Tamandua tetradactyla: one gene and its partners. The protein of the gene in region 1 interacts with the protein of each later gene in a pairwise test. Links are inferred from orthologs where the notes say so. Each region holds a gene or a part of one and is shown in the gene's direction. Other genes may lie near its edges. The genes, in order: FHL1, AKAP12 and MYBPC1.

Region 1 (10,543 bases):
AATGTCAGAGTCCGTAGCGCATGGTTAAATTCTTAATCTGTGAGTGAATATTATAAGGAGAACTTCTAAGCTTACCTGGTCAATTGTGAAAATGAACATGTTTTCAGTGGAGTTACTATTTTCAGGGTGCTTTGCTCTTTTCAGGGTCTTATAGTTCCAGTATCTTATCTCATTTGGAACAGGGTCCCCCCTTTTTCATAGCCACCTTTTCCTTTGCTCTGCAATCCAGAGACCCTCTGGGAAAGAAGTCCAGGTTTATTTTCATTGGAATTTAGCATGATGAACTCACTACTCGTGGATTTGGGGGTGCTTCCCCATGTTATTGTTTAAATTTGTATGCCACGAATTGTGACATTTAAGCAGTGACTTTGCACAATTTGACTTGTCAGGAGGAAAAAGTACACTTCCCACCCTAAAGATTGACAGGAACATGAGATGGTTGAAGTTGTACTGGACTTTTTCTGGCAAGAGCACTTAGGACTAGAAATACTCTGGAGTGCTCAACATTGAATCACATCATATCATAGTGCATGACTAGGTGCCTTAATCTTGCAGTTGGAGTCAGTAGAAATTGTTGGCTGAGGGACTAGTAGCCCAACAAAATGATATTGAGAGAAAACTTGCAGCATATTAATTTATTAGTAATAGGCCTGAGGAGAAGAAGAATACTCTAAAAAAAATGAAGTTGAAATCGCTGATAAATCCACAAGACCCCAGATTGTTCTCATCCTTTTGTCTCTAGCCATGACTAATGGCCAGTAATCATCTCAGTAAGATTTCAACCATTTGGAAATTTCTTCAGTGAAAGAAAACTGTAACAAAGGGGGAGAAGGGCGACCAGAAGCCAAGCTGTGTACGAGGAACTCCTGAGATGTGGGCCAAGTGGGTCACTGAATTTGCTGTGTTTGAGTCTTAGGTTGCGCCACTTTGAATTTTTGAAGTCTGATCCTCCCAGTGGTGGTTTTGAGATAAAGAGTCGAGGATTGCATTGTATGATGAGAATCTCCACCAGTATAATTTCACTGCAACCTTACTGTTATCCCTGTTTCTCTCTCTGCTTGACAATTCAGGTTCCATTAAAGGTGGGGCATGGGAGTTAGTTATCGATGTATCAGAAGAACTTCATTATAAAGCCACAAATGAAGGTCCATATTCCCTACACCAGCTCTGCCTCCCAAATTCCCCATTATTTTCCTGGTCAGCCAGAATAAAAATCTCGGGACTCTTCAGCTCCTTCTTCTCCTATCCATCTAATCAGCCCTAGCATATCTGATGAAATTCCCTTCTAAGCTGCCTTCTTGCTTCCAGACTCTCCTCCTCCATACACCCTTCTTGTCCTTGCTTGCTTGCATTAGTCTTATCGCATTCTTCCCATGTGCTGATTTCACAAAGGCCCTCCGTGCACAGTCTTTCCCTTCCTTTCTAGCTGCTTCTTTATCCTATGTTTCTACCCCAACTAGACTGCATGCTGCTCTGTGAGCAGACCTATGTTCTTCTCCATACCTTGTTCTTAGAATGCCCACTGTCCCCCTTCTGTATGTTTTAAGTCTTAACCCATTGTTAAGGACCGGATCAAATGCCATCACATCCATGAAGTCTTTTCTGAACCCCCAAACTTGATATGATCTCTCCCTCTGATAAATTTAAATATATATTTTTTATTGATAAATCTTCACAAACATACATTCCATACATGGTATACAATCAGGGGCTCACAGCATCATCACATAGTTGTGTATTCATCACTATGATCATTTTTAGAACATTTGTATCACTCAAGAAAAAGAAATTAAAAAAAGAAGACCATACATCCCATACCCCTTACCTCTCCCTCTCATTGACCACTAGTATTGCAATCTACCCAATGTTTTGTACCCCTTATCCCCCCTATTATTTATGTTTTATCCATATTTTTTTACTCATCTGTCTATACCCTGGATAAAAGGAGCATCACACACAAGGTTTTTACAATCACATATTCACATTGTAAAAGCTATATCTTTATACAGTCATCTTCAAAAATCAAGGCTACTGGAACACAGCTCTACATTTTCAGGCATTTCCCTCCAGCCTCTCCATTACTTCTTAACTAACAAGGTGATATCTACTTAATGCGTAAGAATAACCTCCAGGATAACCTCTCGACTCTGTTTGAAATCTCTCAGCCACTGAAACTTTATTTTGTCTCATTCCTCTCTTCCCCCTTTTGGTCAAGAAGACTCTATCAATCCCATGATGCCTGTCCTGGTGAATCCTAGGAGTTCTGTCTCACACTGCTAGGGAGATTTACACCCCTGGGAACCATGTCCCACGTAGAGGAGGATGGCAGTGAGTTCACTTGCCATGTGGGTTTAAAGAGAGAGAGGCCACAACTGAGCAACAAAAGAGGTTCTCCGGAAGTGATTCTTTGGCCTAATTTTTTTTAATTAATTTTTAAATTTCTTTTAAAAAAACAACAGCAAACAGATGCACACACAAACGTTATTAACTTATGATCATTCTGTTCTACATTTATAATCAGTAATTCACAGTATCACCACATAGTTGCATATTCATCATCATGATAATTTCTTAGAACATTTGCATCGATTCAGAAAAAGAAAACAGAAAAAAATTCATACATACCATACCCTTTACACCTCCCTTTCATTGATCACTAGCATTTCAATCTAAATTTATTTTAACATTTGTTCCTCCTATTATTTATTTTTATTCCATATGTTTTACTCGTCTGTTGATTAGGTAGATAAAAGGAACATCAGACACAAGGTTTTCAAAATCACACAGTCATATTGTGAAAGCTATATCATTATACAATCATCTTCAAGAAACATGGCTAGTGGAACACAGCTCTACATTTTCAGGCAGTTCCCTCCACCCTCTTCATTACATCTTGAATAACAAGGTGATGTCTATTTAATGCGTAAGAATAACCTCCAGGATAACCTCTGGACTCTGTCTGGAATCTCTCAGCCATTGACACTTTATTTTGTCTCATTTCACTCTTCCCCCTTTTCGTCGAGAAGGTTTTCTCAGTTCCTTGATGCTGAGTCCCAGCTCATTCTAAGATTTCTGTCCCACGTTGCCAGGAAGGTCCACACCCCTGGGAGTCATGTCCCACGTAGTCCGGGGGAGGGTAGTGAGTTTGCTTGTCTTACGCCTAATTTTAAGTAGGCTTAGCCTATCCTTTGCAAGAATAAGTTTCATAGGGGTGAACCCCAAGATCCTCCCTCTAATAAATCTTGACCACTCTCTATATCAATCAGCTTTAAAGGAAGCACTGTGCCTTATTCTTTGTGACCAGCAAAATATCTTCCACACAGTAGATCATCTTTGTTCAATAAATGTTTGTCATCTAAAAGAAATAAATGGGTGGGGTGCCCTCATCTTCAGGGGGACCCCAAATATCTGCCACTGCAGAGTATTCAGACAGCAAGAATGTGTAGATAAACTCTGAAGTAAATGGGAACTTAGAGTTTTGGATGCTTAGCACTCACTAAAAATCATGATTATGCTAGGGTGTAAGGGCCTTAGAAAGCCTGAAATGGGGTCTTCAAACACAGAAGAGAATTATTCATCAAACACCAGCCAGCTCCCAGCAATAGTATATAAAAGTGCTTTGCAAACAGTACGGTGATTATTAAGGATATTATTAAATATCAGGCTGTTAATGTGTAACGAAGTTGGCTCTGATGTTAATGAAACCAGTGACTGTTCAGGTTTTTACTATCAACTAAATAGCCACTGACATTTCTGAACCACTGATCCAAGTCAGGACAAGAGTTATCAACTGTTCTGACTAAGAAATTGTTTTTAAAGTTGCAAAGGCAACAACACAAAGGCTTGTGGTCGTTGACTCATTAATAGCCCAGAAAGTAATTCTCTGGTAGCAGCGTTTCAGAGACTTTATCTGCTACCTTTACAGGGTTTACCCATAGTCTACGGTTGCTACTGCACTTGCTAAAAGAAAACACATCCTGATGCATAACTGGAAAGTAGAATTGACTACTTAAAAGAAAGTAACTTGGCACACTAAGCTTATTGTTCATGGTGAGCTACAGCGGGGGCATTTAAAAATACCTTGACTCTGCCTAAAAATAAACCTCACTAAAATCTAAAACGTAGGGTTCATGAAGGTTAATCATCTAATAAAATAAGAGCATTTCCACTAGGTGAAAAGTTTAAGTTTATTTTCAGGGTGTGGTATTGGTAAAACTGGCCAATCTCCCTGCTGTAATTTAACCAGCCTGGATAAGAGACTAGTAAAACTTTGGGGGAGTGGGCGGTGGGAGGGAACAACCGTGCCACTTCCCTTCTTTTCCCAGGCTTACTTTTTGACCTCAACGTGTAAGAACTTTGCCTGGAGCGTCTTGACTTTTATTGTCAGGTCGCTCTCCAGCTGACCAGGAGTTACCGACAACTTCGATAACTTCAGCTCTCTTTTAGAATAACTTTTCAGGAAACCTTTGAAGTGCCTGAGATTTATGCGCGTCCTTCACACATTTATTCCTGAAGTACTTATGATTCACCTACTGTAGGGCTGTGGGAAGACCCAGACAGGTAAAACCCAGCCTCAGCCCTCAGCTGGGGAGGTAGGGAAGATTATAAATAGGGCCAAAGCAGTGACATGCGCTATTAAACAAAACACAGTGTCTGTAAAAGGGGGTTGAGTCCAGGGTCTGTCCCGGAGTGAAGGGATTCGCCACCTTCCTCGAAGCTCAGCCACCAGAGCTACTTTCAGGATTTTAGGTGGGACTCTGCTTGGCCAAATGAACAGTTTTGCTTCTCTGAAGTCATTTTTTCAGCAGATTACGGAGGACCTCCTGGTTGTGGGGCAATATTTCCAGTGAATGCCCCCCACCAAACCCCTGCCCTCGTGGACCGGAGAGGAGAATCGGACAATGAGCAAGAGAAAAAAGTGCAGTTCTCTGTTCAGTTAGATTATCCTCCGTACTGTGGGGAATATCAAGTTGGGGGGGGGGGGGGTGCCAGAGAGAGTGTGTGGTGAGTTGAAATAGGCTGGGCAAAGAAGGCGCCATTGAAAAAGGGATTTGGGGCAAAGCTTTGGAGGAGGTAGAGGAGCAGCCACGACATGCTCTGGGCTGAGGGAAACAGTATTGGGATCCCAAGGCTGGGCGGCATGTGTGGAGAGTGCAGGGGACAGCAAGGATGCCCATGAGGTTGCAGCAAAAGAAACTAGGGCAAGGGAGGCAGGGGTGAGGCCAGAGAAGCCACGGAGGTGGGGAATGGGAGATGAGTGGCATGAAGGGACTTTATCATAAGGATATCCTAAGGACTTTGGCTTCTCTGGAACTGGTTCTTGATGACCAGTTTCCAGCCAGCTGATGGCTTGTCGAGCTGTTACAATATGTGAGGTTGCCGGGCCATTTTCATTTCCATTCATATAATCAGTTTCATTGTTCCTGACAGTGAGAAGGAGGAGGTTTTGTTTGTGGGACAAAGCATTGTCACTGTGTCTAAGGCAGGTGCGATGCAGGCCTTCTAGTCTGTTCCATTCTGTTCAATTCTGTCAGATGCGCAGGAGATTTTAGGGTGGCTAGAACTGCTCCCCTTTTCAAGAGGGGCTCTCTGGCACATGCCAAGAGGGATATAGAGTTAAGCATCTGCAATGCCCTCAGTCTCTATATTCATAATGTCGAATCCCCTTTAAATATGCTGGTAACAAGAATCTTTTTAGTTACTTTTTTTTCTAATTAACAACACAAAAGTGAATTATTTATAGGGCCAAATGCAAGCTCTTTAGGCATATAAAGTGGAATAATAAGGTTGGCTCGGTGTTAGGCTATGCCAGAGCCGAGTCCAAATTTTATTCCAGTACAGGGATGGCTTTTTATGTGGCCTCTCTGACTCTGGAGCTAATTTGGATGCTGAGTAGCCCTGCAGGTATTTATATGTAGTGTTTGGTATTTTTACTGGGTCCTATTCTTCTCCCTTGGATCACCTAAAATGGTTAAGAATTTTCTAGTGGGATTAAGGTTGTACTCTCCCGGGAGGGGTGGGACATCTGCTCTCGGTTATTTTTGTGTTAGCCGCTGCCCCTTAAATGTATGTTCACGAATGAGCCAGAGCCTTATCAGCTGGGGTGGAGAGAAGACTGGTCAGGTGCTGCTCCTGAGTGAACTTGGTCTCTGAGCAATGGCTTCCCATAGACACTCAGGTAAAAACATCAATATTCTTTGCCTTAAACCAAGCACAACTCTTTTAGGGCAGTGAATGCACCATTTGGCTTAAAGGTAATTTGGGCTTAAATGATTTTCGTCTTGTCTGAACAGTAAATAAGGCACAGCTTGTCTCTGTTTTGTCTTTACCTTCCAGTGCTATTTTGAAGACAGACGACTCCTCTTATTCAAGCAAACTTAGCAACTTCAGTGGTTTTTTTTAAAAAAGTATATAAGCCTCTTAATATGTGTTTTACCTTTTTCAGGACGTCTTACGAAGCTATAAGAGATAGTGTGAAGAGAGAAGGTTTGGGGGGTTAGGAATTTGGGGTTATTTATAAAACACGACCCTTCATCTTGACATTGCTTTAGATCTAATTTAAGTTGTTTGGAAGAGTTGAATAGAACATGGAGGTGGCAGGGGGGAATGTTTATATCTCAGTGTCCGTAACTTATGACTTGCTGCATCTTCCCGAAGAAACAGCTACGGACCCTGCAATAGGAGAAGTTTGTTATTGGTTGTTCTCAGAAAGAGAAGGCGACGTTTCGAACGTCCTAGGTCACGTCACCATGGGTCTTCCCCTTGTTTAGTAACCTGACTTGAAGAGAGCCCTCTGGCCATAGACAAGAAGTCCCTGGAAGAGGGGGCCGGAAGAGGGGGAGTTTTCCGGGAAAGCCCAGTTCTCTTGAAGTCAGCCTGCTGCCTGTCTCTCCCCAAAGCAGGAATGTTGCCGTTGCTTTGTTGCCTTCTGCCTGAGCAACGGTTCCCTTCCTTTGAACTGGGCAAGGATGACAAGTTCAGTAGAAACCAAGCCCTTCGTCCCTTCCCGAAGTTTTCACATCAAAGGGCAAAGTAAGCATTAGGAGGGTGGGGTGGGGCAGCATTTTGGACATGTTATTTTTGAAAATTGGTGATTGCCTGCCAATTTTTCAACTCTTTGGGAAATGGCTCTTTTTGGTGGGTCAAAGCAAGGAGGCTGCAGTGGAATTCTCCACTTGAGTTGCATTCATGTGCAAGATCTTCGTTGTTCCCAGGTGTTCCAAAGCTGGCTGGGTTTTTTTCACCCCTCCCCACTCCCCCAAGAAGCTGCTTTACAAGCAGTGCTGCATGCCTGAGATTGTGGTTATCAGCCAACTTACACATTCTCGGGGTGTAGGCAAACTGTTCAGCTGGACCATTTGTTCTAATGTACCTTGAGTGCATGATACATAGTGGAGCACCTCCCCACTTTATTTACTAAGTGGCAGAATAGGAAAATATAGTTAAAAGGTGACATATTTATAGCACATGCAATCCTGGGTTTTAAATTGCACCAAGTCCTCATGTTATTCCTGCTTATATAAATCTAGAGGCTGTAACTTAGCTGCATTAGACAAATAATTTATACCGTGTACATGCTTTTTTTAAATCAGGAAATGTCTGTTTGTATTGCATTAAGTGCATAGGTCCACGAAAGCAGACAAGAGAGGAAGAAAATCACCCGAAGAAAATCAGTGTTGCCCTGAAGTGGGCTTTCTATGGACAAAATACAAACTCAGATAATTGGATCGAAATCTATTTTTTCTCATCCATCCACATACTGAGAGAAAAATTCAAGAATAAACCTTTATACTTTTATTATGGAACACTGCCGATCTGCAAAATTATGGAAATTCAATTTCTTTGCCTTTTGGCCTTTGAAGTTGAGGAATGGGGTTGGGGGGGGGAATAAGATCGTTTGCCATATTCATCCAGTCATTAGTTCCCTTTACCAGTGCTGCCCAGTGGGGTCACACACCTGTCTGTCTTTTCTCAGGGCGAGGATGGAAAATGCAAGGTCGGGGTGAGAGGGCAGTAATCTAACCAGATCAGCTTCCTAAAATAACTGAAAACATGGTCGTCAGAAGATCTGGTCAAGGGTGAAACTGAAAGTTTTGTACTTGTAATGACCACCAAATGACCACCTGTCACTTCAGCACAACTAGAGAAACAAAAAACACATGTTCTCTTGCTTCTGGGTCCCAGGGGCCTTTTCTTCCCATGTGAAAGACAGAACATTTTGCATCTATACTATGCGTGTGCAACATTAAGAAAAGTTTCATATGCGGATAACATAGTACTAGAATAGATCCTGGCCTGGTAGAAGTTCAGTTGGTATGTGATTTCTAGTTTCACTATCTATATCCAGCTGTCCTGATAGCAGCTAAAATCTGAAACAGTGTTACTTATGTATATCAGTAACGTAGAAGAGATGTATGGTTTGCTTGTGTGGTTGGTTTTTTTGCTCAGTGCAATGTACAAGTGAACTTGCTGATAACACTGAATCATTTTGCACATGTTCTGTTTTTAAGGGAAAAAACACTTTCAGATTTTCTCTGAAATTCTGTGGGAGACTACTCTTCAGCCGTGACGCATGAACTCCACCTCATTGCAGCTATTTAGGTGTTATTCCCAAATGTCTGACGACACCTCCAGGTGCATTAGGCTGTCTACTACACAAGTGTCCTATTCATCAGCTAATGCTTCGTTCCATTTGTTGAATGTTCTCAGGAAAGCAGTATACCCCTTCTTTAGTAGCCAATGTTTATACATGGAGTGACTAATGTACTGGTATGTTGGACTTAGCAATTAACAGATTAGAAAGAATCTGAAACTTTTTTTTTTCCATTTGGGTTGCTGTTCATTGTTTACAGTGTACATTATAGCACTGAGAGAAAGCACATAGTTAGAAAAATACCACCCTAGACATACTATTCACATTTTCCTGAAATATTCTTATTTTGAGCTACTTGGGCAAGAGGGAAGAAAACTGAACATTTGCAAGCAATACATGAGAAACGTACACATAAAAGCACAAGGAAGACTTACTAAATACAACTTGAATTTTCTCTGATGAGAGGTTTATGGTGAAAAGCAACAAAAACAACAAAAAACGTTGCAATGTTATATTACTCCTATGTGTACGTGATTAAGTTGAGGGCCAGAACTTTTTATTGAGATACTGAGGATGATTTAAGCATCACTTAGTATGCTGGATGTTGCTCAGGAATTTTCTGAAAGGAAAAGCTTGTTTATTAAGTGAGGAATGATGTGTCTTTTGCAGCAGACATAGAGAGAAAGTCAGGCTACCATCTTAGAATAAATAATATAAATGTGATCACCCAGTCACACTTCTAACTGTATTCTAACTTACTAAGTTTATAAAGGATGGTAGGTTAGGTTCACATGAGCTGTCCCTGATTTTCTAAAACAGAAATCTTTGTTACAAACGGTATTGAATAAAAGAAGCTATAGAAGCCTAATGGTGGTGACTTCTTTTTACCTGTCAATCAACCGGCTCTGAGTGTATTTGTAGAATTTTCTGTGATAGAGAAACTTCTCTACTGTGTACAGATGAGGGCCACTAGGTGACTTAAAATGAGTTAGAGAGCTGCCTCAGGGCAGACATAGCTTCCACAAAGACAGGCAGTGAAGGGAAGTAGCCTTGTAATTACACTTATCCACTGTTTTGTTTCATGATTGATGACGTGCCCTCTTCCAGATAACAGCAACAGGTCAACGCAGACATATCTGGGAGTTTGGGAAGGTTAAAAGGCTTCATATTTCAGGGACTTAGAAATTGCTAAGGGATAAAGCAATTATTATTCCCTAAAAGACAAATGCCTAACTATATGTAATTCAGTAAAATTAAAGAGAGCCTAAGAGAAGAGGCAAAATGCTACTGTCATTTTTTCTCTATCCTTTTATTATTTCTAACAGAAGGAAACAGAGGAAAGTGCCAAGATTTTCTCTCTGCATGAAATCAAGGCCTAAACGTGGCTCATACTCTTTATCAAGCAAAGCCTACAAATCAGGATATTTGCTGTCTTTCAGGAACCTCTTAACCTCTGCCCTTCTCAGCTTTCTCATTTATGAACCATTTTCTTAGAGTTGTTAACCTCTTCAAAAATAAGTGGTAGCAAAATATTTTTGGTCTTGTGCACAAGCATCCGTATTTTATGCCTGGTATTGCCATGGTAACCATGTGTTCAGTAAGAATGTGTTACTCCAGCCTCATCCTAAGCACACCGCGTGAAGGTTTGAAATAGTTTTGGACTAAAGAATCAACAAAGTTAGAAAAACAGGAGGTGAGCTTATGCACAGTTGCCCAGAGTTCCACTTAATTAGATTTATTGCAAAAAAAAAAGTATTAAAGTTCATGAAATTGACATAGACATTGTTAACATGGTTTAAGTATTTCCAGCCTGTTTACTTATTAGGCAATGAAGCCAATGTTCCTAGAAGTGCTATTTTATCTTGACAAATAAGTGTTTCCACATACCCAAGAAAGGCTTAAGTCATCTGTCGAAATCAATTCTAAAGGAATATGCCCTTTTGAAATTTG
Region 2 (9,697 bases), on another chromosome or scaffold:
GAATCATGCATGCTCAGTGTAGGAAATTTGAAACAAATAGGCAAACACAATGAAGGGGAAAAAATAATTTGAAATTCTAACAGCTAAAGAACATTACTGTGACAATCACGCTATATATTATATATATACTTATGATGTTTTCAGCTTTTATCTTTTTAAAGTAGAGATGATTTTGCAAATGTGGTTTTATATGTTATTGTTGATATCTGATAATTAAATGCAAAATGAGTATCAATAGCCAAGTGTTGAATTAATATTGGTTTGAGAGTGTCCTAATTTTTATCATTTCATACATTTTGATTTGGGTCAATATCATGGCTATATGCAATTAAGATATACTTTTGAAAAAGCCATTTTTATACTGCTATAAAACAACATTTAAAGCACCTGACTATACTTTCCAGAATGTTTTTTCCCCCTTTGAATTGCCAAATTACTGCTGATGTCTCTTCTATCATATCGAAATTTGGGATGATGGCCAAAAATGCATCATTCTGAGCCAAAATAATAAATATTATATAAAGATAGTAAAACTTTTATTTCCTAAATCCTTCAGCAACCCTGACTAGCATAGGGATAATGAAGCTGGAGAGGCACATAACATAAGCGTAGGCTTATTAAATATGGAATGGAACTGCCTTCCTTTACTATTGTGACTCAAATGCTAGGTGACTTTTTATTCTTCTCTGGACTTCAAAGCCAGGATCTATGTATGCCTATATCGTGCATGTATCCCTAAATGTTTTCATTACAGAAAAAAAATTCCAATACATATTCATTATAGAATATTTAGAATGGCATATAAGCAAAAAAAAAAAAAAAAAAAAAGCAAAAACTATCCCTAAAATAAGGGAAAGCCCCCTATAACTGTTGATAAAGGCAACAATATGGATGAATCTCAAAATAATAATATTGCATTAAAAGAAGCTAGACAAAGAAGAGCATATATGAATGACTTCATTTATATAAAATTGTAGAAAATGCAAAGTAATCTATAATGACAGAAAACAGAACAGCGTTTCCCAGTGCTTGCCTGGGATGGCAGGGTGGGGCGGGCAGGAGGAGAGAGGGGGATTATAAGGGCACATGGGGAGACTTTTTGGGGTTCATGAAAATGTTTAGGATCTTGATTGTGGCAATGGCCTCAAGGAGCATACTCTGTCAAAACTCATCAAATTGTACGCTTTAGATATGTGCAGTTGCTTTTAGGTCAAGTAGACCTCCAGAAAATTTTTTAAAAATATTCTAAGGGACTATTGGTATCCTCTAAATGTGGAATTTCTTCTGTAAAATATTGCTTGAGAAACTGGGTATTATTTTTGCTATCAAGTTGTTTTACCCAGGAAAGAAAATAAAACCACCAAATAACCATAATTTCACATTCTGAAACAACCCTTGTTTCAAATTCTCCCTAAGAAAGTAAAATTCACCTATTTCACTCAGAGAATTCCATAGAAGTCTCTAGAGTGCAATAACATTAAAAACAACACACCCAATCCGTTCCACTTTCAAACCAAAGTTTTCATTGATTTGGGAGCTTAAGCAGTGGCAGACATCGGAGTCTCTTTCATGTGATTAATTATGTTCCCAATGAAGTTGTAATGAAGTAATGTGTTGAGAGGAGAGAGGGAAGGAGAAAGATGTCCAGTTTCACTATTGACTTCCTATTATTTATTCTGACTTACCACAGCGATCCCTCCTATAGATACTGTGATAGTGTATTTGTAGGAATGTCAAGAAATCATTAAAAATGAAAAAAAAAAAAAAACAGCAGCTAATAGAAATGAGGGCAGTCCCAAGGAATGCAAAAGTTCCCCAGTCTTAGGTAGGAGGTCTGTAAAATGGGATAAAATAATCGCTCTCTCTTGTGTAAGATTTTACTGACCCTTCTTCAGGTTAAGCACTGATCCTTTCATTGGATTCTTAATCACACATGAAATATATGAAAGCAATTTTTGATGTCAAAGACAGCAAATAGCAGATCTGAGATTTAAAATTCACAAAAAGATTCAAGTTAGTAAAGGAACATAAAAGTTCTCCATAATTTACAATGCATGTCTTTTTTTGGACAAGTAATGTTGACTTATGTAACCAAAGTTTCAGCTTTGAAAAATTCCAAGTATTTTCCCTGACAGTTAACTCAATAAAAGTTTGTTGAAAAAAATATTATTAAAATATTGAGAAATTTGTTGTATACTTGCAGGACTCTTCAAAGAATTTATGAAGGGATTTGAAACTGTGCAGATTATGAGAATTTGATCTACACTGCGGTGTCATTAACTTCCAGACACCTCTAAGTGCCTTCCCAAAATCATCCTAAGAGAGTCTCTCTCCATATTGGGCAAATTAGTTACTATATCTTGGTTCTTGTCATACGTAGATGGAAAGCAGCCCAACTAGAGAAAAACAAGGAGCCAAAGGTATGCTGGTTTATTGGTCACTGTATTTCACTTGTATTTATCTCTATTTACTTTGTTTAGGTGCATCTTGAGCAAAGGATGTGTTCAAGCTGCAGCCATACCCAATTATTTTTCTGTGAATAATTGCTCCTATAATGGCTTCCATGGTGCCTGAAAAATACAGATGAAAAAATTGACTTTCTCTCTACTCCCCTCCTCTTTTTCCCATTACTTTAGAGGAATCTTGGATTTGAGTCAGGAGCCAATCTTAAGTATTGGTAAATGAAAGTGATATACAAATAGTAGGCTTTGTATTTAACCACAAAACAATGATTTTCTGTCTCTCTCTAAATATATATATATATATATATAGTCAGAGAGACAGACAGATGACTTTCACCTGTAAATTGAACTTTCAGTGGTTTGTTCCCATATAAATGCTGAGATTATTATTTACTCGAATGCAGAAATTTGTTAATTCTTTCAGTTTTTTTTAGTTTATAATTAACAAATAAAAGAGAGAAGAGTATGAGTTGGGTTCTTAGATGACTGGATAGTGTCATAAAAATAATTGGCACAGGAGGAGTAAGCTTTTTATATAGGGAAAACAAAGAAGTGATAAGTGGGCGTTCGAGGGTGAAAGCTGGCAGTTCTAAGTGAAATTGCCTAGTAGAGAATGAATCTGCCAGGCAGAGTTGTGTGGCTTTTAAATTCTGTTTTATTCATTACAGTTATTATTGCTCTTTAAAGAGGGGTGTGTTAACCCAGCTGTGAAATGTTTCACATGTGTGAATTCCTTTAATGCTATATTTGAAAATGTTTTGGTATGTGCACGAGACACCCAGGCATGACTCGGAGTTTTACTGGTAAATCTCATGTGGTCTGTATTTCTGGAGAAGTTAGCATGAGAAGCACAAGTTCAGCCTGCTTTACAGGCAATGCGTGTTTGTTTTTGAGAAATCTCAAACTGTTTTTGTGAGTGTGCTAACCCTCTCAGGGAAACGGGCTCCACCACCAACTGCCCCGTGGGGAAAGACACGTCACGGCACCTGCATCCTGCTGTTTGGAGGAGAAAGACAGGGCTGCAGGTGCAAAATGGGGTAACCAAGAGCTTTGGACTGAGAAGAGTCAAACAGAGCAGGTGTTTTCCCCTATATCACGGACCCCAATCTGAACAATTCCGAAGGCATCTCTTGACCCTAAAAATAAAACTTGGTAATGTCATATAGCGCCTTGATCCAGAAGGCAGTAACTTTGTGCTTAGTATATAATAGGCACTCAATAAATGCACGCTGGAAGAATGAATTGAACAAGCTTTTTAACGTTCTAAAGCATTAAGCATATTCGAAAGATTGGGATGTCTCATTACTAGGGATAATAATATAAGCACGTTTCTCAACAAAATAAACTCATCCAGAAAATCCCCTTTGAACCCCAGTGTTCATATAGCATTATTCACAGTTGTCAAAAAGTAGAAGCAACCCAAGTGTCGTTGACAGATCGAGCTTAAGTGGCACATCCATACAATGGAATATTATTTGGCCTGAAAAAGGGATGAAGTTCTGATACTTGCAACAACATGGATGAACCTGGAAGACTTGTTGAATGAAATAAACCAGACAGAAAAAGACAAATATTGTATGATCTCATTTACATGAAATATCTACAATAGGCAAATTCATAGAGACAGAAAGTAGTTTATAGGTTTCCAGGGGCTGCTGGGGCTGGGGGCTGGGGAAAATGTTTGGGTTGAAAAAGTTTTAGTAATGGATGGTGGTGATAGTAGCACAATATCTTGAATGCAATTAATACCACTGAATTATACACATGATAGCGGTTAAAATAGGAAATTTTGTGTTGCTTGTTACCACAATAACCATTAAAAAAAAAAAAAGTAACTTCACAGTCTACAAATAAGATGAGAAGCAGTCTTTGGTCAGCCCCCAAACCAAAGGCAGTATGTGTGTGGTTGTGTCAATCTATGAAAAAAGCCTGCTATTCTTAATAGTCCCTTAATCAAGAAGCTCTTTCAGGCCGAATACAGAATAGGAGAATGTGCATGTTTTTTAAACTAATATTTTGCTTTTTAAAAGTCAGAATATGAGTTTTTTTTCCCCCCCTCATCCTGGAATGGAGACACAAAGCAAGCAGTTGCTAATCTAAACAGACCTGCAGTGTCTCCTGCAGCATGGGGGTGGGATAAGATCGCTTGAAATCTTTTTGACCTTGGAATACTTTCTGAAAATTTAAAGGCTAGTAGATGTGAAAAGCGTTGTTAAGAATTTCCCAAGAACTGAATAAATACTATCTCACAGGACGGGAAAATTTTGATAGCATTTGTGCTACTTACTGATACATTCTCCTATGTGCTGATATTCATTGTTCTCAAATAGGCTTTCACAGCCTTTTTAGTGCTTGCCATCCTAAATGAGATCGGAAGACCTCTCCTTGCTAGCATCCCTGGGCAGGAGACAGAGAACACATTTGAAAGCTGCTTATGGAGGGGGAATGAAGTATTGTGCAGTGGTTAAGGGTGAGCTTTGAAGTCAGAGACCTGCGTGGACTCTGATCTCCCATCGGTAGCTGTGGGATTTTGAGCACATGCCATCATTTCTCTGGGCCTCTGTTTCCTATTTCCTCATTGGTAAATTGAGAATAATATGTTCACTTCATTGGGTTTTTGTAAGGAATAAAGGTGGCTTATATGCAAAGTGCTTTGAACAGTTGCTAGGACAGAATAAGCACTCAAATATTTACAGAACAGTCACAATTTTAGTAAAAATGGGTGAAATGCTTATAAATCCCCAAGACCAAGCATTTTGCAAATATATTGTTTCCTAAGTGATCAATTCCACATAAACTGGCATTTGTGTACCCCTTCAAATAAGAACAATTAATTCAGAAAACAAATTTTATGCTGGTTAAATAGTTGATAATGATCCCCAAAGTGTCATTAAAATACCTGCAAATAATCAGGCACAAAATAGCCCGATGCTGAACTGCCCCTTACATCAGTGGTCTACTGTAGTTGTACACTTTTGGAATATTGGCACTAGACACCAAATAAATATCCTATATTCCAAAAGTCTTAATTTTTAATGCATGATTTTATTGGTGAAAACGAAGGCATTCAGTTGCCAGTGAGAACTGGGATAATTTTTGTCTGTCAGCCCCACTACTCCATGCTTATATGCCAAATATTCCAGCCTAAAAATTTCATTGAGTTCAAATATTTAGGGACTGTTAGCTATGTTCATATAATAAATATTAAACTCAGGAGTCTGAAGAGGGAAAAATAAGCCTCATCCGTGGAGAACTACCGATGGTATCGAACAGAATTTTGCCAGTCACGTCTCAGTATCATCTGATGGAACAGTGGCCTGGAGGGGTGATTTCAGCCTCGGGCGCTGGGAGGCTGGGCGCTTTTGCGGTGATAGCCTCACTCCCTACATTCCCCCAGGAAGGAGGGCGGCTGTGCTGTTCACCGGCTCGGCTGCTTCACTCGTTCTGGACGGTGGGAGAGTGTGGGCCGCTTGGCCCACCCCGCCGTGGCTTGCCTCCATCAACCCCCTCCGTTCCTTTCGCCGGCCCTAATATGGTCCGACTCCGGAGGAACAAGGAGTGCTAGCCTTTCTCCTGCTGATGAGGAAGAGGCAGGTACAAAACCCAATCTGAAGGAAAGCAAATGAGGATTTGGCCTCGCTTCTGAGAGATTTGTAAGTCCGCCGCAACAGAAGCCCCCCGCCTTGGGTGATCCATCATTTAACAGAAGCCACCGAACCCAGTGTACCCGGAGGCTTTCTACGTTCCCCCTTTCTTGCTTTTCCCTCCCCTTCTGCAACACTTGTGTCTTGGCAGCCCCTGTCCCTTTTCGCGACTCGAGGCGTCCCGGGGTCGGGCGGGCTGCGCCCCGGATCCTGGCAGCCGGGGTGGGGAGATGCTGCGGCTGCAGGGCGTGGCTGGGCTGTGCTCATGTGACAGGCCAGGGGAAAACAAGGGGCGGAGTGGAGGAGGCAAAGAGGTGGCTCTTTTTTTTTTCTTTTTTCTTTTAAGGAGTTTGCGGGAGCGCGTCGGCCTCATTCGCTGCGCAGCTCGTCGGGAGAGGAAGGCGGGAGAGAAGGCGCGTCTGGGTGCGGGTTCCTGCGTCCCGGCACTTTGGGAAGGCGCGCAGCAGTCGGCGCGGAGAGCCGCGGGAGAGCCATGGGCGCAGGCAGCTCCACGGAGCAGCGCAGCCCGGAGCAGCCCGAGGCGGGGGTCGAGACGCCGGCCGAGCCCGAGCCCAGCGCGCTCGCGGACTCCGCGGTCGCTGCTGCAGATACCGCCACTAAGGTACGAGACCCGGCCACCTGCTGGGTGGCGGAGGGGGGAGGGGTCCCTCGTGGTGCCACGCACGACAACTTGGCGGTCCGACCAACTTGATTTCAGACTCGTGAGCACCGACCCCTAAATGGGCTTTTCGGGTCCCCCGCGCTGGGGTGGGACCGAACAGCAGCGCGCGCGGTGGGGGTTGGCGCCTTTGTCGTGGGTCTCCAGGGAAGGCGACTGCGCCATCCGTAGTGACAGAGTGCGCCCCGTGTCCCTCCCTCGCCCTGCTCCACTCTCCCGCTAAGACAGACGAGCCACGAGTGCATCCGTGGAGATCGACCCAGGCTGGGCATCTTGAGCCCCTACTCCTTCTCAGATGCCAAAATGAGCAGGTGGCCTGGCCCTGGGCTGGACCTGGCGACGGGCCCCACCCTGCTCCTCCCTCGTGCTGCCCTTGACAGCATCTGCGTCTGGAGCGCAGGGAGTCGTACCCTGTCCTCCTGCGCCATCTACGCCCGAAGCGCTCTGGGCTGCCCCGGCTGGGTACCGGGTTCTTCTGCAGTAGCCGCGCCCTGAATATCCCGGGTCCGCACTGGATCCCGCCTGGCGTCGGTACCCAGCCCTGCGGCATCTGCGCCTAAACACCCGGTGTGGGTCCTCGGTTCTCCTGCGGCAGCCGCGCGAGCAGACACCGCCTCCCTGTTGCGGAGAAGAACGGGCGGTGCAGCACGTTCGGGGCCAGACAACCTGGGCAGATGCTCGGTTTCTAGAAGGAATAACAGGTTTTGCAAACAAGGCAGCGCCCTCCCTCTCCCTCGGGTCGTTGCCTGTGGACTCAATTGGATAAACAAATACTGGAATACTAGTTGGAAGTTGTCAGAGGAAGTGGTCAGGGGCGTTAGCAGGCATTCTCTGTATTTCTTATGGAGGCTGAGCTGAACCTCGGATGCCCCAGAAATACTGCTATTAGTTTTAAGTCTCCGCCCGCCGAGATTGTGACTTGGCCTGGTGTCTGTGTTTCAGATCGATTTTCCAGCGCATGCGTTTACTAACAAGGTTTCATCCCCACCGGTTTTGGGATATCCTTATAGGAAGATGTACACGACCATATCTAATGTAAAAACCCTGTGTCCAATTTAAGGACTGAAACTACTTGAGGGCCTTCAGGAGTTATCTCAGGGGGTGTAGATGTTTACAAAGTGAAAAAATACCGAAGTCTAGGTAAATGTCATGGAATTCTGCCTTCATTGTCTTGTCCCCTTTGGCTGTCCTAGTCTACTTTAGGCTGAAAATCTGCTCTTCATCCCTTGGTTTACCTCGTTAACTCATAACTGCTTTGTGAAATCCATGGCCCCTAGAGGGGTAGATACTAATATGAACTAACTGTGCATGGGATATGTAGATTTTCTAAGAGGTGCCAGAGCTTTGGGCCTAAGGAAAGCACTGTTCTTTTGGTGACTAAATGATGTCTTCATATTGTTGTACATCACTTTTGATGCCAGCTTCTGTCAAAATGGCTGCATAACCAGTGTTTAAATTCCAGTGGGGAAGGTAATTTTAAGCTTCATTTTCAGATTGGGAAGCACTTTTCTTTTGAGCTTTTATTATCCCTTTGGATTTTCTTAATTGTTCACCCTGGAACTTGGTTCTTAATCTCTTCCCAATAAACTTGGATTCTTCTGTTTTAAATACTCCTTCCATTCCCTTCTCTTTGTCCTCCTTTAGTGCTCTTTCTTCTCCCTCTTTCTTAGTCACTGACATCCTGAAATAGTCAGTGACATCTTTAAAATTATTCTAGTGACATCCAGAATAGCATTGAACTTGGTTGGCATACTGCCCAGTTATCAATTTGGAGCCAAATCAATACACTTACATATATCCTTGGAATATGTGCAGGTTTTCATTTCAACTTGCAGAATTTATTACTTAGGTTTTGAAGACCTGTGTTTTCTCAGAAGGGCGCCCCAATTAAGAATGACTCAGCCTCCCTTCTAGCCCCTGTGAAACTCCATCTCCTGACTTCTGAATAGTCACACCTGTCCCTTTGGGCTCTCATGGCGCCTTGGGAGTGATCCCAGTTACTGGTTTGATAACTGGACCGGGAAGTGTTCCACCACTCTTCTGGGACAGCTACCACGAAGCCAGGGGCCACATCTGGCTTTGCTCACAACAGGTGTGCCCCTGGGTAGCAAGCTGCTGGTATGTTGTAGTTTCTCAGTAAATATCTGTGGAAAGAAGAAGAGGATGGCGTTTTAACTTCCTAGGCTGCTCCAGCAAATACCATGTAATGAGTGGCTTAAACAAAGGGAATGTATTAGCTTACAGTTTTGAGGCTGGGAAAATGTCCAGCATTAAGACAGTGTTTCTTCCCAAAGAACAGTGCTGATAATCCTTGGCTGGTCTGCCACAGGGCAAGGCACATGGAGGTGTCTACGGGTCCCCCTTCTCTTCTGGGTTTCCATGCTTTCAGATTCTTGCTTTCTGTGGCTTTTTTCCTCTGTCTGACTTTCATTCTCTTGTAAAAGACTCCAGTAAAAGGATTAAGACCCATTCTGATGGAGGTGGGCCCCACCTTAACTGAAGTAGCCTTATCAGAAGGTCCTATGACAATGGGTGCACACCCACAGGAATGGATTCACTTTAAGATGTTTTGCTGGGGTACATACGATAATGACTCAGTTTTGATTGGAGACTAGCAAAATGGGGAACATTTTGGCTATCTCCTTTTTTACAATTTTTAATCTTTGACCACCCCACTATCATACTCAACCTCTAGATCAGGTACATTTTTTGACAAAAATAGCCAAATTTGGGGACTTAGGTTTCTGTTTTCTCTAGCAGTTCTGTGGCTTGTTAGGGTTGCAATTTCGGATTGCCTTTAATCTCAAATAGACAAAGATAAGATATTAAATTCAAGTAGTTCAAATGAGACTACTTCATATATTGAATTTGGTTAGAAATTGCATCTTGAGCTTTCTTGTTTGGATCTCTGG
Region 3 (10,596 bases), on another chromosome or scaffold:
TTTTTTTTCCTCAAGATGTTTTTAGCAATTCGGGGCACCCTGCCCTTCCAGATAAATTTGCTTATGGTTTTTCTATTTCTGAAAAATAAGTTGTTGGGATTTTGATTGGTATTGCATTGAATCTGTAAATCAATTTAGGTAGGATTGACATCTTAACTATATTTAGTCTTCCAATCCATGAACATGGTATGCCCTTCCATCTATTTAGGTCTTCTGTGATTTCTTTTAACAGTTTTTTGTAGTTTTCTTTATATAGGTTTTTTGTCTCTTTAGTTAAATTTATTCCTAGGTATTTTATTCTTTTAGTTGCAATTGTAAATGGGATTCGTTTCTTGATTTCCCCCTCAGCTTGTTCATTACTAGTGTATAGAAATGCTACAGATTTTTGAATGTTGATCTTGTAGCCTGCTACTTTGCTGTACTCATTTATTAGCTCTAGTAGTTTTGTTGTGGATTTTTCTGGGTTTTCGATGTATAGTATCATATCGTCTGCAAACAGTGAAGTTTTACTTCTTCCTTTCCAATTTTGATGCCTTGTATTTCTTTTTCTTGTCTAATTGCTCTGGCTAGAACCTCCAACATGATGTTGAATAATAGTGGTGATAATGGACATCCTTGTCTTGTTCCTGATCTTAGGGGGAAAGTTTTCAATTTTTCCCCATTGAGGATGATATTAGCTGTGGGTTTTTCATATATTCCCTCTATCATTTTAAGGAAGTTCCCTTGTATTCCTATCCTTTGAAGTGTTTTCAACAGGAAAGGATGTTGAATCTTGTCAAATGCCTTCTCTGCATCAATTGAAATGATCATATGATTTTTCTGCTTTGATTTGTAGATATGGTGTATTACATTAATTTATTTTCTTATGTTGAACCATCCTTGCATACCTGGGATGAATCCTACTTGGTCATGATGTAAAATTCTTGTAATGTGTTGCTGGATTCGATTTGCTAGAATTTTATTGAGGATTTTTGCATCTATATTCATTAGAGAGATTGGTCTGTAGTTTTCTTTTTTTGTAATATCTTTGCCTGGTTTTGGTATGAGGGTGATGTTGGCTTCATAGAATGAATTAGATAGTTTTCCCTCCACTTCGATTTTTTTGAAGAGTTTGAGGAGAGTTGGTACTAATTCTTTCTGGAATGTTTGATAGAATTCACATGTGAAGCCGTCTGGTCCTGGACTTTTCTTTTTAGGAAGCTTTTGAATGACTAATTCAATTTCTTTACTTGTGATTGGTTTGTTGGGGTCATCTATTTCTTCTTGAGTCAAAGTTGGTTGTTCATGTCTTTCCAGGAACCCGTCCATTTCATCTAAATTGTTGTATTTATTAGCGTAAAGTTGTTCATAGTATCCTGTTATTACCTCCTTTATTTCTGTGCGGTCAGTAGTTATGTCTCCTCTTCCATTTCTGATCTTATTTATTTGCATCCTCTCTCTTCTTCTTTTTGTCAATCTTGCTAAGGGCCCATCAATCTTATTGATTTTCTCATGGAACCAACTTCTGGTCTTATTGATTTTCTCTATTGTTTTCATGTTTTCAATTTCATTTATTTCTGCTCTAATCTTTGTTATTTCTTTCCTTTTGCTTGCTTTGGGATTAGTTTGCTGTTTTTTCTCCAGTTCTTCCAAGTGGACAGTTAATTCCTGCATTTTTGCCTTTTCTTCTTTTCTGATATAGGCATTTAGGGCAATAAATTTCCCTCTTAGCACTGCCTTTGCTGCGTCCCATAAGTTTTGATATGTTGTGTTTTCGTTTTCATTTGCCTCGAGGTATTTACTAATTTCTCTTGCAATTTCTTCTTTGACCCACTCGTTGTTTAAGAGTGTGTTGTTGAGCCTCCACATATTTGTGAATTTTCTGGCCCTCCGCCTATTATTGATTTCTAACTTCATTCCTTTTTGATCCGAGAAAGTGTTGTGTATGATTTCAATCTTTTTAAATTTGTTAAGACTTGCTTTGTGACCCAGCATATGGTCTATCTTTGAGAATGATCCATGAGCACTTGAGAAAAAGGTGTATCCTGCTGTTGTGGGATGTAATGTCCTATAAATGTCTATTAAGTCTAGCTCCTTTATAGTAATATTCAGATTCTCTATTTCTTTATTGATCCTCTGTCTAGATGTTCTGTCCATTGATGAGAGTGGTGAATTGAAGTCTCCAACTATTACGGTATATGTGTCTATTTCCCTTTTCAGTGTTTGCAGTGTATTCCTCACATATTTAGGGGCATTCAGTTCGGTGCATAAATATTTATGATTGTTATGTCTTCTTGTTTAATTGTTCCTTTTATTAGTAGATAGTGTCCTTCTTTGTCTCTTTTAACTGTTTTACATTTGAAGTCTAATTTGTGGGATATTAGTATAGCCACTCCTGCTCTTTTCTGGTTGTTATTTGCATGAAATATCTTTTCCCAACCTTTCACTTTCAACCTATGTTTATCTTTGGGTCTAAGATGTGTTTCCTGTAGACAGCATACAGAAGGATCCTGTTTTTCAATCCATTCTGCCAGTCTATGTCTTTTGATTGGGGAATTCAGTCCATTAACATTTAGTGTTATTAATGTTTGGATAATATTTTCCTCTACCATTTTGCCTTTTGTATTATGTACATCATATCTGATTTTCCTTCTTTCTACACTCCTCTCCATACCTCTCTCTTCTGTCTTTTCGTATCTGACTCTAGTGCTCCCTTTAATATTTCTTGCAGAGCTGGTCTCTTAGTCACAAATTCTCTCAATGACTTTTTGTCTGAGAATGTTTTAATTTCTCCCTCATTTTTGAATGACAATTTTGCTGGATATAGAAGTCTTTGTTGGCAGTTTTTCTCTTTTAGTAATTTAAATATATCATCCCACTGTCTTCTAGCTTCCATGGTTTCTGCTGAGAAATCTACACATAGTCTTATTGGGTTTCCCTTGTATGTGATGGATTGTTTTTCTCTTGCTGCTTTCAAGATCCTCTCTTTCTCTTTGACCTCTGACATTCTAACTCGTAAGTGTCTTGGAGAACGCCTATTTGGGTCTATTCTCTTTGGGGTGCGCTGCACTTCTTGGATCTGTAATTTTAGGTCTTTCATAAGAGTTGGGAAATTTTCAGTGATAATTTCTTCCATTAGTTTTTCTCCTCCTTTTCCCTTCTCTTCTCCTTCTGGGACACCCACAACACGTATATTTGTGCCGTTCAAATTGTCCTTCAGTTCCCTGATCCCCTGTTCAAATTTTTCCATTCTTTTCCCTATAGTTTCTGTTTGTTTTTGGACTTCGGATGTTCCATCCTCCAAATCACTAATTCTATCTTCTGTCTCTTTAAATCTATCATTGTAGGTATCCATTGTTTTTTCCATCTTTTCTACTTTGTCCTTCACTTCCATAAGTTCTGTGATTTGTTTTTTCAGTTTTTCTATTTTTTCTTTTTGTTCAACCCATGTCTTCTTCATGTCCTCCCTCAATTTATCGATTTCGTTTTTGAAGAGGTTTTCCATTTCTGTTCGTATATTCAGCATTAGTTGTCTCAGCTCCTGTATCTCATTTGAACTATTGGTTTGTTCCTTTGACTGGGTCATATTTTCAATTTTCTGAGCATGATCCGTTATCTTCTGCTGGCGTCTGGGCATTTAGTCAGATTTCCCTGGGTGTTGGACCCAACAGGTTGAAAGATTTTTCTGTGAAATCTCTGGGTTCTGTTTTTCTTATCCTGCCCAGTAGGTGGCGCTCGTGGCACTCGTTTGTCTGCGTGTCCCACCAGTAAAAGGTGCTGTGGGTCCTTTAGCTTTGGAAAACTCTCGCCGTGGGGAAGGTTCGCCAGCCGAAGCAGCTTGGAAGAGTGCCAATCCCAATCTCCCAGCCAGCCCGGGGATCCAAACGCGGGGAGGGTTGCCGGCCGCCCCAGCCCAGGAGAGCGCCCGTCCGAATCTCCTAGCCGGCCCGGGGCGCCAAGCATGACGGGAGGGCGCCAGCTCCCGCAGCCCGGGGGAGTGCACCGTTCCCAGCCGGACCAGGAAGCCACGTGTTTGGAAGGGACCCCGGTCACCATTCTCCGCGGCCTGGGGATCTCCGATTCAATTCTCCCAGTTGGTCCAGGGGGCCGCGCGTGGGGGGGGGTGCCAGCCGCTGCGGCTTGAGGGGACCGCCTGCCCAATTCTCCCAGCCGGCCCGGGAAGGAGGGAGGGAGGGCCTCCGGCCGCCTGCCGCTCCGGCCCGGGGAAGCCCGCGCCCCTCGGCGATCTCACCGGAGCGGGTTCTCCCAGCCAGTCAGCCATTCCAGAATGGGGCACGCTGTCTTTTTGATCTCTGTTTGGCTCCAGGAGCTGTTCTGTATCATTTCTACTCCCCTAGTAGCTGTTCTGGAGGAAGAATTAGCCAACACAACCCGACTCCTCCGCTAGCTGCAATCTGACCGCGTTGATCTTCCTCTTTTATTTAGTTTTGGTGCTTCTAGTTTGCAAGCACAATTCTTCGTGAAGGAAAAGTATCTTAAAGCCAAATAAAGTGAAGTTACTGACTTGAAGGGCAGGTACTCTTAGAAATTTTGTTCTTGTTTGCAAGCTATTTCGTGATTTCATCTTCGACTTTGCCTGTTCTTCTCGCCTGAATACGTTATATACTTTTGCACCCAACTATAGAGTAGCCCACAATCACAGTCCACAAACTTTAAAATCAAAACCAAATAGGGCTTAAGCTATGCCGAAGAATTGTGCTCAACCCTTCTAGTGGCTGGCGGGGATCACACAGTGAAATATGACGAGCTAGCAGGAAAGCAGGATCCGTGGCACGTAAGTTACAGAATTTAGGAAAAACATAACGCCGGCTCTGCATACTAAAACTCACTGAGAACATGCAGTTCGCTACGACTCTTCAAAGTGTGAATAGCGTGTTTACTGAATTGATTCATCAGAGGGAGCAGTTTCCCAGATCGCCTGACCCTACGTCCCCTTTCCTCTTCTCAAATTCCCATGCCTTTTCCTCAAAATCCTTTCCTGCCGGCCAACAGAAACTTGCTTGGCACAACGTCTTCACCTATACTGAGTCTTCAGTTTCTTGCAGGAAGTACAAATCCAAGCGGTGAAGAAAGCCAGCGCGTCCCGAGATGGTCCCAAAGGCTCCTGAAAGTGCAAGACCTGAGGAGGCATCTGACTCTAAGGGGACGCCTTAAAATGGCGCAATTTGAAACAAAATCCTTGGCTATTCCGATAAATCAGCAAGCACCCTCCGCACAAGTTTCGGTCGTTACCCTGCCGGGGTCGCCACCAAACCAGAGAAGCCGCCCTTGAGGATACAGAACACCACGTGACCCTCTACCCGAGCGCGACGCGGACCCCACGCCACTCAGCATGAATCCTGTACTGCAGATCCCCTCAGGGCGGGACCCTTCACAGGCAGCCTCCCAGCACCAACCCCCTCGCACCAGCTCGGCTCACGCGCACCCAGACACCCCCTGCTAGTTTTTTAAAGGACATGTCTTGATAAAAGGTAAATGCGTAGTATTCCATAATAGAAACCTTCACTATGTTTGGAGGAGAAAATAAGACAACATATTCAATGTGGAAATTTGACTTGGCACTTGACATATTAATAAAAAATAAGATGTAAATATAATAAAGTTCAAAAATAAAATCCAATAATTAAGACCCGATAAAGATGAAGAGCTAATGAGAGCATAAAAATTATCTGAAAGATATTTTTTACTTTCTAATCTTAGCAGAATTAAGGTATATGTTGATTTAGCATATCCTGATTTGTAATTTACTTTAGTTTTTTTTAATAAAAGGATATTTATTCTTTGTGTTTATTGGTTTCATAAAAGTACCATCATTAACTTAATGATGCCTCTATGCCTACATATTTAGATTGTTTCTATTTTGCTACCATAGTATTCAATCTGATAATCATCTTTGAAAATCTGTTTTTCTCAATTACCAATTGTTTCCTTAGGTTACAATACAGAAGTGGAATTAACTGGATCAAAAACTCTTGGTAAGTATTGCCAATTGACAAGCAAGAAATTTATATCAAGCTAAGCTCTCACTAACAATCTAAAAAGACTGCCCCACTCATTTCATTTTTCCTGTTTTGACCACTTCCTCGGTCTTTGCTGAGACTGGTAAAATATGTACTTACATGTATATGAGTGTGTATGTGTGTATATAGTGTCATTTCTTTTGTTTTTATGATAAATTCTGAAATTAAATGTTTTTAAAACATTCTACATACTACTTAATATTCATATTTATATATTATTCACATGTACAAACATTCAGATACTCTCATCTGTGCTTTATGCCAGCTTAGTGTCGTTTAATGTTCTTTTTTCTAACCAACATTTTATGTATCAAGATATGACTGCATTTTTCTTTTATGACTGCATTTTTTTTGTCCTATATATCGCAAATATTTTCCCAGCATCTTTTTTCCTATTTTCTGGTTTTCCAGTGTAAATTATTTTGGTCAAGTTTTCAGAAATAGCCTAGTTACAAGCAAATTTAATTTTTCAATCAAGAACCCATGTCAATTAAAGATCACTTAGGTATTCTGGCTACCATATAAAGGGGATAAATATTTTGACAAATACTACTTGAGCATCCAAGTTTTATAATTTATTCGCGTTTTAGGAATGGACCCACCTGTGTGATATCTGATTTGCTTTAATGTTTACCACCGAGCAAGCTTTTTGCCCTCCTGAGCCGGCATATGCACGCGTCAGGCAGAAAGAGAGGAACAAGAGGAGCACGAGGCTGCAGCTGAATTTAGAAAGTCAGAGGTGCTCGCATCAGCCACATGAGATGGACAGGAGATTCCTTCCAGTAGGCATGAGAGCAGAGCGCAGACAACAGATGTGGGAAAAGTCCTCGTGGCCATAAAGCCCCAGCATCTTCCCTCTGCAGGAGGGGAGGTGCCAACGTGATTGACATCCCGAGGCAGGATAAAAGCCCGGGGTTTGCCCCCCACTGCTTGTCACCCTGACCAACACCATCTCTCCGCCGCTCGTGGGGTTTCTGTCAACTAGCACTGCAGGGGAGAAAACGCTTTGGAAAATAACATTTACTTGTGGCCATGCCAGAGCCCACTGCGAAAGAGGGTAAGACTCATCCGTAAATCTTTTTGTTGTACTTTTTAATAAAGTTTGTTTATTTGTTGTTTTTGAACCAACATCCATTGTTTTTAGACAGAATATATAATGTCAATCCACTGATTTAAAGAAAAGTTCCTTTAGAGTAAAAAGGACAGAGGAAATACATAGGAAGAGTGTAAGCAACTAAAAAAGTTTATCTAATTATATTTTATGCAGGGATACTGACAAAAATTATCAAATTAGAATTTTATCATTCAATCTCAAGGGATCCTTAAAGTGTAATTTCAGGATGTTAATTGACAACAGTGAGCAGGTTGCATTTTAAAGCAAATTTTCTGAGGTTCAATCAGAAAATTTTCACCATGTGTTTGCAATGTTGGGGAGGGAACTTGGAAAGTTTCCTTACATGTTTAATAAATTTGATCAAGATTTCATAAAGGAATTTGTGACAATATTTCAGGATTTGTTGTATTTTTTCATGGAAAGACATTTAAAACATACAGATGCATGATTTTTTTTGCTTTTGTCAGTGTTTTTAGAGCTTCGGTTATTAAATACTTGCCTGGGAAGAAAATCAAACAGCTGGGTGGGTAAAAGAGAATACTTCTGGATATCACTGATAAATTATGTTCTTTCAGAAGTTTTCTGAAGATAATTTCATAATATGTAAACTTTTAAAAATAATTATGTATAAAACATGGACATAGTCTTCATTAGAAGAATATTTCCTCCAATAAAAAAGTTTCTCCTTTCTATAAGAAAAAGATTTGAATGGTATTTTAAAACTAACAAATAAATTAGAATTAGTCGTTACTAAAATTACTAATGGAAATCCCAAATTAATAGCACAAGTATATTAAGCGTTTTTTCGAATGGAAATATCTTAAAGCAATGTCATTTTATTCTCATTAGTTTTCATTAGTATTCTCTGAGCTTTTATTTTTCATTCCTGCAACTGAAAGCACACACAAAGATGAACAGAGGACGTGAAAGTAGTATTTAGTGTTTCAGCTTTGTTTTTGATCTTCAAAAATTATTTCTAGCCATTATTTTGAAGATCATTGACAAAGATGCTACACACTGAGCTCAAATTTGAAACAGTAACCAAATTATCAAAAGCCTTTTTAGTGTATTTTCTTTATGGAATTAAGTAACCAGTGTTGACAGGCTATGGTGATCGGTTTACACATTGGCTTTACTTAGCGGCCGAGGCCACTGGCAGATGAAGTCTTCTACCCAAAATAACCGCACCAAATGTGGGCATTAATAGGGGGACTTAATCCCGACTCCAGCCCCTGCTGAAGTGCCTTATTTGCAATGCAAATGATTTACTTATCTATCCAAGTGTCCGTCTCATTTGATCTGTCACTTGACTAGCCTCTTTAAGACTTACTTGGTTTGGGTGCAATGAACTCTGTTTCCTCACCAAGGGACACACTATTGTTTCAGTTATCCTGAATTTAGTGGACGATTCTGCATTTGTCATTTTAAAGCCCAATTGAAAATGACAAGAAAGCTGAAGACCTAATAAAAAGGTGACAGGCTGTGGAGCCTATAAAGCTAATTGAATTATTCTCACTGCTAGATGCTATGAAGTTTTACTTTTGCCTGACGCTTGAATCTGATCCATTCTACTTTTAGAAAGAATGACATTTTAGAGCTACAAAGTGAAATATATACCTTTAACTTTGGGTCCCCAATATATATTTCTTTTCCTTTTGGATAAATTGACATGGATACCAGTCTCTATTACCTTCTTTGCTATAATAGCACGGTTGACACACTGTGTACGAGTCCCTTTTCCCCCCTTGTCCCCCCACTCCCACCCAAGGACAGTAATTTTATACCCATAGATTCTTTCATTAGTTTAAATTTGGATGGTGGGGAGTAGGGGTAAATATATATATACTGATATATTTAAATTTCTTTGAGAAAGTGCAGGGATTTTTGTTGCCTTACCAGAATAAGTAATTCATGAAGGAATAAAACTTTGAAGACATTTCCTGATGAAATTGCATTTTGCTGTTGTTTCCATGAGAAGAGTAAGGAATATGGCAATATGGAGTTGACTCTCCTGGCCCTTGCTGTGACTTTTCACTGGGATTGGTTTTGGTCTTTAGAAGCATCCTTCAAAACCCAGCCCCAAGAATAAGACAAGCCACCAGACCAGTCCTTCAGGGTCATTTGAAATGACCTGCAGAAACCAGAAGCACCTGGCAACTTCTCAAAAGAGGCTGGGTTTTCATCCCTGAAGGTGAAGGTGGGCAGACTGCCGGCCTACAGTGCTCTAGTTCTAGGAGCTTTGCGTTGGGTCTTGGGAGTGCTGCTCCCTCTAAGGGGGGAGGAAGGACAGGCACCATTTTGGTCCTCCAGGATAAAGCCTAACAATTAGTCACCAGCCCTTTCTAAGGCTCTTGGAAATATTTTGGGAATCCCAGTAACATCTCCTGGAGGAAAAAAAAATGTTGTTTTTAGGGACCAGCCCCTTTCCATCCCCCTCCTCTCCGCCTTCCTCAATCGTGTAGTTATTCTTCGGAAAACTGTGATTTGTACTGTCAGTTCCAGAAAGAAAAACAGGCTTATCTTATACTTGGAATTCATGCAGACCTGAGGCCTGGTCAATTTAAGTTAGTCCAATCAAATGGTGTGAGAGAAGAGGGTCCGGGGGGAAGCTGCACTGTGGGAATCTCCCAGAGCGCCTTACTGATGCTTCGTTTATGCATCAACTGTTAATTGAGCAACCAACGCGCTGGCCGTGGGGCTTCGAAGATGCAGCCAGCACCGCCTCTCCCTGAAGCCCTCCGGCTCCATTGTCCCTGGGCTCTGCCACATAAAGGAGGCACCTTCTGCTCGAAATTCCTCTTTTCCTGTCAAAAAGTAATCTTATCAAAGTGAAATTTAAAAATTGCAATCGATTTCCTTCTGCGGTAGAATCGCTAATCGTTTAAAATCGTTTAAAATCGCTAATTGTTAAAAAATGCATTGCAGAGCCATGCAAATGCTCTGCAATGCATTTTTTTAAAAAAGGATTTTCTCAGAATTTTTCTCTCTGCAGTATATGGGGATTAAAACTGTAAAACCCAGTTCTTGAAAATACTTAGACAATCGTGAATTGTCACATACTACAGAACCCAGAGCATTTTTCTTCTAAAACCCTGAGCTGACATGAATTTCACTTTTTGTTCTGTGATATACCAGGCCCTGTTGCATTTTATGTATTAAACTCGTAGGGAGAAGGCAAAAAAAATTGGTGCCTATGGGCCATCCAAACCACCCTGGCAGAGTCAGCGTCCTTTCCTCATCTTCCATGTAAGATTCCTTCCTGAAAATTCAAAACGGTGGCAAAGCGTGGGCTCATTTATGACCATGAGTTTTGAGGGGCTCTCGGCTCATTCCAGAAATCACAGCCCTGGTGTTCTAGCGGGAGGCGCCTGCTGCCCCGGAGGGCGGCATCCACCGTCTTCTCCTCGCCGCCTTAGGTCTTTTCCAGCGCGGATAGGCGGGAGGGGGCCATCGAGAACGGTT

Evidence for each region.
Region 2: the proteins of FHL1 (region 1) and AKAP12 interact in binary tests that used the Homo sapiens proteins (3 or more experiments, as listed by UniProt). The link is inferred for Tamandua tetradactyla from reciprocal best matches to the Homo sapiens genes FHL1 and AKAP12.
Region 3: the proteins of FHL1 (region 1) and MYBPC1 interact in a two-hybrid assay, tested with the Homo sapiens proteins (2 studies listed by BioGRID and IntAct). The link is inferred for Tamandua tetradactyla from reciprocal best matches to the Homo sapiens genes FHL1 and MYBPC1.

What each region holds. Positions count from the first base shown.
Region 1 is NC_135353.1:23,315,883-23,326,425, reverse strand, and holds the start of FHL1 (four and a half LIM domains protein 1), read left to right. Parts: upstream 1-6,046; 5' UTR 6,047-6,156; coding exon 6,157-6,178; intron 6,179-10,543.
Region 2 is NC_135328.1:142,873,523-142,883,219, forward strand, and holds the start of AKAP12 (A-kinase anchor protein 12), read left to right. Parts: upstream 1-5,863; 5' UTR 5,864-6,115; intron 6,116-6,452; 5' UTR 6,453-6,599; coding exon 6,600-6,728; intron 6,729-9,697. UniProt on the Homo sapiens protein: Anchoring protein that mediates the subcellular compartmentation of protein kinase A (PKA) and protein kinase C (PKC).
Region 3 is NC_135333.1:171,585,445-171,596,040, forward strand, and holds the start of MYBPC1 (myosin-binding protein C, slow-type), read left to right. Parts: upstream 1-6,824; 5' UTR 6,825-7,052; coding exon 7,053-7,077; intron 7,078-10,596. UniProt on the Homo sapiens protein: Thick filament-associated protein located in the crossbridge region of vertebrate striated muscle a bands. Slow skeletal protein that binds to both myosin and actin.